3 linked regions of the Callithrix jacchus genome follow. The protein of the gene in region 3 purifies or fractionates together with the protein of the main gene of each other region. This does not show direct contact. Links are inferred from orthologs where the notes say so. Each region holds a gene or a part of one and is shown on either strand. Other genes may lie near its edges. The genes, in order: AMOTL1, AMOTL2 and NF2.

The links.
Region 1: the proteins of NF2 (region 3) and AMOTL1 purify together in Homo sapiens (affinity purification with mass spectrometry; 6 studies listed by BioGRID and IntAct, counting the BioPlex papers as one, with this or other methods). This does not show direct contact. The link is inferred for Callithrix jacchus from reciprocal best matches to the Homo sapiens genes NF2 and AMOTL1.
Region 2: the proteins of NF2 (region 3) and AMOTL2 purify together in Homo sapiens (affinity purification with mass spectrometry; 5 studies listed by BioGRID and IntAct, with this or other methods). This does not show direct contact. The link is inferred for Callithrix jacchus from reciprocal best matches to the Homo sapiens genes NF2 and AMOTL2.

What each region holds. Positions count from the first base shown.
Region 1 is NC_133511.1:45,513,728-45,517,374, forward strand, and holds part of AMOTL1 (angiomotin-like protein 1), read right to left. Parts: intron 476-3,647; coding exon 1-475. UniProt on the Homo sapiens protein: Inhibits the Wnt/beta-catenin signaling pathway, probably by recruiting CTNNB1 to recycling endosomes and hence preventing its translocation to the nucleus.
Region 2 is NC_133518.1:49,808,565-49,812,682, reverse strand, and holds the start of AMOTL2 (angiomotin-like protein 2), read right to left. Parts: upstream 2,839-4,118; 5' UTR 2,716-2,838; intron 2,457-2,715; exon of another isoform or gene 1,971-2,456; intron 1,657-1,970; exon of another isoform or gene 1,615-1,656; intron 1-1,614. UniProt on the Homo sapiens protein: Regulates the translocation of phosphorylated SRC to peripheral cell-matrix adhesion sites. Required for proper architecture of actin filaments.
Region 3 is NC_133502.1:200,276,795-200,280,251, reverse strand, and holds the end of NF2 (merlin), read right to left. Parts: intron 2,666-3,457; coding exon 2,503-2,665; intron 636-2,502; coding exon of another isoform or gene 634-635; coding exon 523-633; 3' UTR 508-522; downstream 1-507. UniProt on the Homo sapiens protein: Probable regulator of the Hippo/SWH (Sav/Wts/Hpo) signaling pathway, a signaling pathway that plays a pivotal role in tumor suppression by restricting proliferation and promoting apoptosis.

The sequences.
Region 1 (3,647 bases), on a different chromosome or scaffold from region 3:
GTGCCCCCTGCCATGTAGTAACCATGGCCCACTGCCCCCTGCTGCTGTTGCTGCTGCTGCTGCTGCCCCCTGAAGAATTGTGACTGCGCTTTGGCCTCTTCGTAAGTGGGCAGTTCCTCATTGTTCTGCTGAGGCTGCGTGGACCGGACCTGTTTCTCCATCACCGTATTGTCCACCTGGTGTTCTTGACCCTGCGGTTCTTGGCGTGCCGACTGGTAGACCATTTGTGGGTCTTCCTGGGTGAGGTTTTCCGTGGAAGAAAAGTTGTTTGTAGGGTGGGCTGGTCCTGCACTCCCTGTGGCCTGGTGCTGAATGGCCAGCAAGTTCATGTTCTCAGTCGGGGTGCCATACCGCAGTTGTTCCTGGATCAGCCGCTGCAATACTGTTCCAGCTGCCGCATCCTCGGAACCTCTCATTTCCACCTCTGAGATCCTCAGGAAATTTGGGGAGTGGAAGTTACAAAGAGGATCTTCAACTAAAAGATAAACATAGGAAAAAAGATATCAGGCTGTTCCACAGGAGATATATGTCTGTGACTATGTGGTACATAATTAACATTCTAACTACGGCAACATTTAAAGATATTTCAAATACATCATCACCTCCATTTACCTGGCAATGTCTCATCGAATTTCTTCTCCTATTCAAAGTGAGTCTACTATTCCCCACTCCCTCTCCTTTGCTTTCTCCTAAACACTGTTCCATCCTTCAACTCCTCCCTTTTCTCTAATCTTCCCACTGACCCTTTCTCTTCAGCACATAAACATATCCAAGTCTTTCCCATCTTAAAAAAGTAATACAAGAGAAAAAAAAAATCAAACCAGAAGAAAACTTTCCTTGGCCCTCTCATATACCTCTAACTACCACCCTGTATCTCTCTTTTCCTTCTCTTCTAGTTGTGTTCAGTGAGTGCCCTACACTTGCTGTCTGCACTTCCCAAATGCTCCATCCACTATCCTCCCCACTGCTCTGATCAGTAACCAAATCCAATGAGAATTTTCCAGTTATCCTGTTACGCACCTAACCTTTCTGAAGCATTTGACATAGTTGGTCATCCTCTTCCTGCAATGCTCTCCTAATCCGGACTCCAGGTCATCCCTCCTCTTGGTCCTGGCTCCTGCCTCTCTCTACACACTATCTCTGGCTCCCTTCTCTTCACCTGTCCCTTAAATTCTGGTGTTTCCCACAGCTCTGTCCTGAGTGCTCTTCCACCCTTACATGTCTCCCAGTGACACCACACCTACCTCTTATCATCAACTACTGACTCATGACCCATACATCTACAACTGCCAGACAATGGCCCTGAGTACTTCTAACTCAACATGTCTTCCTCATCCTGCATGGTTACCCACCCATCCCAACCCCTGTATTCCCTGCATCATCTACTTTCTGTCAAGCCAGAAAACTGAAAGTTTTCCAAAATTCCTTCCTCTCTCTTACTACCCCCAATACTCACACAGCCACTACCTGTCAATTTAACCTTTTCAACATCTCTGCCAACCCTCTTCCTGTTCCTGTGCCAATCTCCAAGTTCATCATTAATAACTTTAATATAACCACAAGAATTACTTTAAACATGTATATGATGTGCCAGCTATTGTACTAAATCTCTCCATGTGTTATTTCATTTATTCCACATAAAACACTAAGAGGTAGATATTAATTCCCTTAACTTACAAATGAGAAGAGAGGTTCACAGAGGTAAATTGCCGAGGCAACCAGGCAGGAAGAGGCAGACCAGGATATGACACCAAGTTTGTGTTCATTCCACATTACAAGCCCTTGGCATCACATGCCCAGGTCATTCCAACAGCCTCCTTATCTATTTCCCTGACACTCATCGTATTCCCACTTCCAAAGCCAGCCCTCTGACCCCAGTCTATCTGGCACACTACTTGAAAGATTGTTCCAATATGTAAATCTAATTATGTCACTCTTCTGTACCAAAATTCCTGGATAATCAATTACAGGATAAAACTGGCATTTTATTACATGGTAAAGCAGATACCACCTACCTAAACATTTCATGCTGCTCCCACCTCCCATTGGCAACTCTTTGGAATTTAAGCTCCATAAATACCCATGTACATATAGTTTCTAAGGAATGTTAGCTCTTTCCAGCCTCTGGACCTTTGTTTGCCTTTTCCTCTCTGCCTAGAAAGACGCATCTCACCATGTCTCTCGGGAAAATTCTTAGACAAGTGATAGCTCCAAAGCTACCTTCTGAGTAAAACCTTTCCTGCTGCAGCCCTGCAGGCTTGAGCCTCTTTCTCCAGTGTCCCCACTCCATTTATATATATCTCCATTGCAGCAATTCTCACAGTAGATGGCAATTATTTATTTATACAAGACTCTAAACTCCTTAAAGGCAAAGATTATGTTGTCTCATCTGGGTCTCCCTAGAACAAAGCCAAATGCCTGGATGTAATAGGCCTCAGGTATTTAACCAATAAAAGAAAACCTACATGAGCTCCATGAAATATAATATCTAGCCCATTTCACAACAGGAAAATTAGTAGTGCATTAAGAATATTATTATAGCATTATAAAAGTAAAAATTCTACTATTAACTGCTGGCATGACCTTAAACAAATTGTTTTCCCTCCCTGAGCCTCAATATCCTCCTTTGTAAACTCAGAGCTGGACTAGATCATCTCTAGGCAGCCTTCACTCCTACAAATGCATGTAATGATGGCTCTATGTTTTAATATATACATACAGAACATTATTTTCCCAAAACAGTCTTTCTTCCCCAAATTCATGTTTTTTTCCTATAAATGACATTCTCAAATATGAGTCATCCAGATAGAAACTTCATATTCACTTTTGACCTTTTTATTCTTTGCTCTCTGCATTTAATCAACTGTCAAGTTAGTTTTTCTCAGTCCACAATGAATTGAGAAAAAAAAATGAAGGTGGTATGATATGCTTATATACAAGATATATAAATACACATCTATTAATACATCTATATGTGTATGTAAATAGATAAATGCATTAGAAGGCTTAAAACTGTCCTTTTTGGGGCAAGAACTGTCAAGGATCACATCCCTCTTATTTTTTTGGTATTTAAATATGAAAAAAGGTGACAACAGATGACATTGTTACTGTCCTTGCAATAGCAAAACGCTGTAACTCTGTGATGGTCCCCTAATTTTCATTAAGAAATTTCACATTTATGACAGTTAAAAATCACAACCAAGCCCTAGTTTCTACACCAACAAGCTCCCCTATCCAGTCCATTCTTCCGTGCTCTCAGCCACTCTCCAGGTTCCAACTCTCCTTACCGGTCATTTAGACATCCTGAATGGCTTCTCAATATCTCTTGCCCCTGGCTCCTTCTCCTTTCACTCCATATTATATTATGACCTGTCTTCCTCTACCAGATAGAGCAGAGAACACTATCTGTTATAATCACATGTTGCCTCCCCAGTGCCTTGAACCCTGCTCTGATACATAGAAGGCATTTGGAACATGATTATTGAGAAAACGAACGGAGTTTACAGACTGATTCCTGAAGTTCAACTTTGATCATAAGGCTCTCCCTGTCACCCTTAACTCCAAACTCTCACCTTTGTGGCTTCTCTGAACCTCTCACCTCTGAAAAATGGAGAGACTTTCTGCCTCATAGGATTATACTTGAAATA
Region 2 (4,118 bases), on a different chromosome or scaffold from region 3:
AATCCTGGTAAATGATTACTGTGATAACATTCATAGAGGCTTACTATTCCTGGAGAAAGACATAAGAAAACCAGAAGATAATCCACCAGGAACCACTGCCTCTATAGCCACCTACCCATCAAACAGCCTGATGAGCAATTCCAAGGCAGGCCTAGTTCAGATCTAACCACTTAGCTATTCAGTCTAGGGCTGGGTGGGGACCCAGTTTATTGGCAGGTGATACAGAAGGCATGTAGTCCAGTAGAAGCCCTAGGTGAAAGTCCTCCAGGACCCCCCCCAGAATGAAGCATGCCAGAGCCCAGCCCTGGCACAGTCAACCTACTACCCTCTAGCCCACTGAACCCCTGCCCACTTTTCTCACTCTCCCAGAACCAAAGAGCTCCTGGGGGGTGGGCCTGGGCTCTGCTTCATCAAGGGCTGCTGACAGAATGAATCCAGGACTCCCTGTCATGGGATGACCTTGGCAGTCATTCTGCAAGGTGAACAGGAAGGAGGAGGAATTGCACCTGAATTTCTGAATAAGGGATGAATAAAAAGGCTCGACAATGGTTTTGTGAGATGAGGCAGAAAGTTGCCACCCATTAAGGTCAGTGGGTCAGTCTTAGAGCTGACGGTAACTGCAAGAGAGCTCCAGGAAAAAGAAAGGATGGCACGACGTCTTTTATGATTATCCTCCCCAACACACACACATGCACGCACACACGCTACTTGGAAAAGCCCTCACTGGTCCTCTAAGCAAACAGAGGATGGGCTTTCAGCATCTTTCTTGACATCAGTGTCAAGGAAGATCATCTGGACTTGGGCTTTCTCCAACACAAATCTCCAAACTGGGATCCAGGGAAAACTAAACGGACTCCATACTGCCAAACATCCTGTGTGAACAGGCAGGGGTTGGTGGGGAGTGGGAGGAATGTGGCCCCTCCTCTGCCACAAAACTAGCCCGTGTCCTGCTTCAGTTTGGGTTATGGTATGTTGGCAGAACAGCCATTCCCAATCCTTTCCCTCTCCCCACCCCGGGCTCCAGCTGCCCAGAGCTGGGGACTGGGGTATGAGTCTGGAGGGCACCTCTGTACCAATCCTTCCTGGCACCCATTCATGCGCCCCCACACACAACGAGGGGTAGATATTGCAAGACTCCGGCGCTACCCGAGGCAAAGCAAGCAAACGGGATTTAATTCGCTCTGGAGTTTTATCTCGGGGCATTTCCTTAAGATAATTACTCTCTGGCCGACTCCCACAGAGGCTGCAAGGGAGCGGCCGGAAGGAATGCGGAGCCTTCCCGACAGATTCCGGGCGCTCCACAGTGTGCGGGGACTGGGAGCAAGGAACATCTCCAAGGCCTCGCGAATTTGTCCCGGCCAAGCCCCTCAGATTCACGACCTTTCAAATACCAAACGACCGAGCCTTAACTAAAACCTGCTTCCGCGCCCCCGGCCGCGCCCCTCTGCTGCGCTAGCGCGCTGAGCTCTCTGAAGGCTGCCTGTCTAAGCCAGCGCGCGTCGGCTGCCTTGGCCTGGGCTCCAGCTCGCCTAAGGAACCAAAGTGACAGTCTCCAAGCCGGGAGACTCTCGCACCCCAGCCAGGACTCCAGCTCCACCACGACCCCGGGCGGACCTGGATCGCCGGTGGTCGCGGGTACGCCTGGGGCTAGCCGGTGAGGGTAGCCCGTGGCCCGGAGAAGTCTTTAAGCATCGCGGGTCCGCCTCCCTCCCTCTCGAGCCCTCTTTGTTTTCCAAATACTCCAGCGCTGACGTCACCGGGCTGGACAGCAGGCTGCATTCTTTCTAGGTGAGAGCCAATTCGTGTCTCCAGAGAGGATTTTCCAAGGAAGACAAAGAGGAATTCTTGGACTAGTTGGAGGCAAAGGCACCTGTAACCCCCACCTAACCAAATCAACCCGCGAGACCCTGCAAATTGAACCCCAAGCGGCGCCTCCAGGCCTGTCCCCCGTCACCCCCACCCCGGCCTACCTGCAACCCGAAACACCGTCGCCTCTATAGAGTCTGCCCTCTCCGCTCTCCCCCAGCCCCGGGGGACCGGCGCGCTGCTAGAGCCCCGCAAAGCCAGGGGCGCTGGGCTCCCAGGCGGAGCGGCCCTTGCCTGGCACTGCGGCTGCCTCGAACGGGCGCACTACGCCCGGAGTACGCTCGATCCTCCGGGCTCCGACTCCCGGAAAAGGCCGGGCTGCGCCGAGACTCCGGCTTTGGCCGGGGCACGTCTCTGTGGCCTCGCGCGCTCTCCCCAGCGCCAAGCGGCCTTCCTTACCGCTGCGGCCCGCGGGTGCCCAGCACAGTCAGACACTGCAACCCCCGGCTCGGCCCTGCTCAGCTCGGCGGCGGAGATGTATTCTCGGCAGTGGCGCCGACGCTCTGGCAGTTCGCGCCCCAGCGCGCAGCCCCAGGGTCGGTCCGCGCTGGAGGCGGCTGTTATGCCAGGAATGTGAGAGTTTCAGGTTCCCCCTCGGGATCAAAGCGAACCACAAATAACCTCTCAGCGCGCCGCCCTCCTCCGCCCTCCGCCTCCTCCAGCTCCCTCCTCCCGTCCCCCGCCTTCCTCCCGGGAGGCGGCGCTGCTGGCTGAGCGCCGGGCCGGCCCCTGAGCTCCGTTCCTCCGCACTCAGCGCCCTCCAGGCCGCAGTGTGTCCGCCCCTGCCCCCCGCTTTGCGATCGGAGCTGCTGGAGACAATTTAATACAACTCGGCCCATTATTGCTTACACCCCTAGTCGCCGACCCGCTCTCCACCCTTCATCCCGAAACCCATCGACGGAACGATACAGCAAGGGCTGTGCCACGCTTGTCCCGGGGTTGCTGCGGGAGAGGCTCCGGCTGTGCGTGTGTGTGTAAACCGGGGGAGGGGGTAAGGGAAGAAGGACCGCAAAGACGTCTATATCCTCAGGGCTGGGAGCTTGTCCCGGGAGAAGTGAATACTTCCAGCCTCCGAGCCTCTCTTTCCCCTAACCCCCAGTGCTTTCACCCCCGCGGCAACCTTTGAATTGCACTTTTGTTTACAAACACCTTCACCAGCTCTTTTACGAACCTTCTCCACAGGAAGCGTGAATCTGTGTTGGAAAATCCTGTCAATTTGATCCATCTACCCAACCGAATCTCCCGCCGCCAGGCGCTCTGTCCACCTCTTCCCCAAGATAATAGGCGCCCCTTTACGCAGAGCGCAGGGTGTGCCACCGCCGGCTTTTCTCCCAGTCAAGCGATCCAGCCTTGCCTAGCATCCTCCAACGGAGTTCTGTTATCATCCCTGTGTTATAAATGAGGACACCAGGGCTCAGAGAGCTTAAGCAGGGTGCCCAGAGTCACACAGAAAGAACCAGACAACCAACCAGGGGCTGCTTGGGTTTTCATTCTCAAAACCCCTCCGTTGCCATCAGAATCCGGGCTCCCTAGATGGACTGGGCAGACGCCAGGAACCTTCCTCTTTCCACCTGCCCGCTCCTTGTTTTAGTCTCTTCTTTACCTCCCCCTACACCCCTGCCAGCCAGCGGCCTTCCCTTGTATCCACTTCTGTGGCTCCTGCATGGAATCTTCTTCTCTGCCCCCAGGACACTTCGTCTGCTAGGTGCAAACCCCTTCTTCAGAAAGCCTTCACTGACACACCCTGTCCCAGTTCCCACTACACAGGGCCTCTCTACAAGTCAGTTGGGCTGAAGTGGGGGCAGTCAGGCCCCTGTCCACCCAGAGAGTCAGGGCTGATTTCTTCTTCCCCTGGCTGGGTCCTCCCCTCAGCATGGAGTTTGCAATTCCCAAATTCACCGGAGGGAACCAGGGACAAGGAAACTCTGGAAGCTTAATAGCCAGGGACATTGTTAATTTTTAATAAAACTCCCACAAAAAGTGTGTGTGTGTTTTACTTGGAAGCCAAATACTGTTTCAAATAGTGATTGCATCTGAGATGATTGAGCAAATGGGTCATTTGTGAAGAGGTCTCTGGGTGGCCTTACCTTATGGACAGTGTAATTGGTGGAGGAGGGGAATGGTTGTGGACATGTGTACTCTGGGTTGTAAAATCTCGGGAAAGATCACGTCTTTCAGGCATTTGGGGGGATACCTCACAACATGTTTGACAAATATTCTTGAGATGGTTGCAGAAAGGCATCAGTTCAAGG
Region 3 (3,457 bases):
TCAGAACCCTGTGCTCTGGGTTTGCTTTATTTGAAAAGAAAAGGGATGTGTATAGAAAGGGGAAGCTCTAAAGGAAAATGAGCCAGCACAGGCAACCCCTTCACCCGACAACAGAAGCTGCCAGGTGTGACCATGGGTCTTGAGAGGCTGTCACCACATGAAAGGTCTTGATCTCGAGTTAAAGATACCAGTCTCAAAAGTGCCCAGATTGACCCCATTTCCATGCTAGGGTTATTTATCTAAGGAATACGCCACCAAGACAAAGGACTTTTAGACACACCTGACTGGACAAGAAGCCATAACCTTCCCCAGCCCAAGAATGACATGAGATGGAAAGAATGGCTGGTCCTACAGCCCCATGACATGCTCTTTGGAACGAGGCAGTCTTCTGGGTCCCTGGAGGCTGGTCTGGCTCCACAGGGCGGATGCCTGCCTTAGACTCAAAGCATGCTGCGGCCAGTACCCAGGCACCACCTGCCCTCGAGAGGGCTCAGTGTGGCCCAAGGACAGAGACAGGCAAGCTCATGCACGGGTTAGTATCACAGAGGGCAGTACCATCACCACACAGAGAGTACCTGGGAACAACCTACTTTGAGGACTCAAATGCAGATAGGTCTTCTGCCTTGGGCTTGAGGCTAAACCAGCAAAATAAAATAAGAAAAACAAAAACATACCCTGTGATATCAACAATGCCACAAGTGACATTTGCAAAATGCTTGGATAGGCCTGAAATCGTGACGAGTGATTTTGTTCGTTTTAGTGGCTTGGAACGGGTCTCTTCCGCTTTCAGCACTGCAGGTTTTTGTGGCTGAGGCCCCTGCTCATTACAGCAGCGGTGGAAAGGGTGAGACTGCTCCTGGGACCCAGATGACAAGGCTGGAGGTAAGGGGTGAGGTGGGGTGTCTGAGGCAGCTCATTTAAGGGCTGATTGGCTCATTGGCCCAGTCATCAGTTTTTCTCTTTCCTTAATGGCTGAGGCCTCCCTCGAACTCCCCTTTACTGCTTAATAATTTTGTTTTGGAAGGAAAGCCCAGTAAATTACAGAAGCCAGAGGAAAGAACAATGTGGAATGTGGACATGCCTTTCCTTCTAGGCTGTGCTATTTAAAGGAATCCTCTACCCGGTGCCAGTTGTGACTGGAGTCAAGAGGTAGAAGTCAGGGCTCCCTACTGCCCCCAACAACAGTGGCAGGTAGAAACTGATTCCCTGGAGTTTCAGATACAGCCTAACCACTAAACACAGAGGCCTCCCAAAGAACAACTGCTTGACTGGGCAAAGTCTCTTAACCAAAAACAGGATTGGCTTGTAGACTTTTGGAAAAGAGGTGGATACCTTCTTCTATCGAGAGCTACCAGAAACAAGCAAGAAAACTAAGCTCTCAACAGTGACAAGACCCCAGGAACTTAAAGGGAAGCCCTTTAGTAAAACTGGAAGCCCATTTTAAAGACTGAGGTAAAGAGTAAAAATTAATTAACTATATCAGTATTACCTACTCAATGGGCAGTCCTCTTTTTTTTTTTTTTTTTTTTTGAGATGGAGTCTCGCTCTGTTGCCTAGGCTGGAGTGCAGTGGTGCGATCTCGGCTCACTGTAATTTCCGCCTCCTGGGTTCAAGTGATTCTCCTGCCTCAGCCTCCCTAGTAGCTGGGACTACAGGTGCACACCACCACGCCCAGCTAATTTTTGTAATTTTAGTAGATACAGGGTTTCACCATATTGGTCAGGCTGGTCTCGAACTCTTGACCTCAGGTGATCCACCTGCCTCGGCCTCCCAAAGAGCCACTCTTATCTTAATAACATCTATTTTACAGGTGTTAACCTGATCCAGGGCTATCAGTTAAAAGCAGAGCATTATTTGGCAAGAGAGGACCCTTCTGCTTAGCCCAAATGAGAGAGGTATGCTCTTGGGCTGATAATTAATATGGAAATTAGGTTCTGAATCTCAACAATGCTGAAAGCTCAAAATACAAATGGAGAAAGATATGAAACTATTTGCAACGTAATGAAGTCTTCTCTTTTAAAACAAAGAGGTCCTCTCCTACATACTTCCTTTTAAGTAGGAAAACAAGTTAAAAATTCAGTTTTGTTTTATAGTCCTTGTCACTTAAAGACACAGCAAGTCTAGAGGGAAAGTCCATTCTCAATACCCTCCATTTCATTCTGCTTTCTCATTAAGTAAAGCAGCTCCCTGAGCATAACACCCCTTGGCTTAAAAGGGCATTATGCTTTACTGCTAAATAATGGCTCAAAACCCACCCTGTAACAGGGGTTCATTATATCAGAGCTTTTAACACAAGCTCAACTTCCATCAAGCCAATGGGTTCATAGTCATTGGCAGATTAAAATTCCCTTTCTGGCATGAGTCAAAAAATTTCCTCAACTAAGTACATACAAAAGATGCCAACAGTCTAGTGACTTGGCTACTGAGGAAACCAGCTGCCAACCTCACATTTCATTAACGACTGTCCTGATCAGCAAAATACAAGAAAGAGACCCTGGGTACCTTTTTAATGGTATTGTGCTTGCTGCTGCCACCCCTGTCGGAGTTCTCGTTGTGCAGAATATCCAGGGACGTCTCCCTCTCTTTCAGTTTCAAAGCCTCGATTTCTGTCTTGAGTTCATTGAGCTGCTCCTGCAGATGCTTGCTCTTTTCCATGTATTCCACTCTGCCAGCAAGAGGGTATCGTGCATCAGGGTTTGGGCTCAGATGCTCTGTGGCCCACAAGCTGCTTGGCACGGGACCTAGGGTCTGAGGCCTGGGGTTCACATCTCTACTTGGCCACTCACAGGCTGTGGGAGCTTGGAGTGGTCACTGCTGTGAATGTTTCCTCATCATTAAAATTGGGATAATGATCACAGGGCCGTGGTCAGGATTAAGTTTTAAAAAGTGTAGGAGGCCAGGCACAGTGGCTCCCCTGGAATCCCAGCACTTTGGGTGGCTGAGGCAGGAGGATTGCTTCAGTCCAGGAGTTGGAGACCAGCCTGGGAAACATAATGAGATCCTGTGTCTATTAAAAGAAAAAAAAGAAAAAGAAAAAAGAGAGGAGAAAAAAGAAAAGAAAAAGAGTAGGAAAGCCCTCAGTAAATTCTCATAGGGGGCTCTACAAATACCAGCTGTCACAGATAGCTTTTCATTCTGTAACGAAAACATGAAACAAACTTCCTGGCAACCCAGAACAATCTCCTTGTCTTGACCCTTCTTGGAGCAGTAATTCAATAACCTCTTTTTTTTTTTTTGGATAGGATCTTGCTATGCTGCCAAGGCTGGTCTTGAACTCCTGGCCTGGAAGTGCTGGGATTATAGGCATAAGCCACAGCGCCCAGCCTCACATGATTTCTTTTGATAGGCCACATCCATACTCCCACATGTTCTGAGACTTCATCTGAAGATGACAGAAGCTTACTCAGAAGCTCACGGAATGCAAGGAAAAAAAGATCCCCACCCTCACCTGAGAACA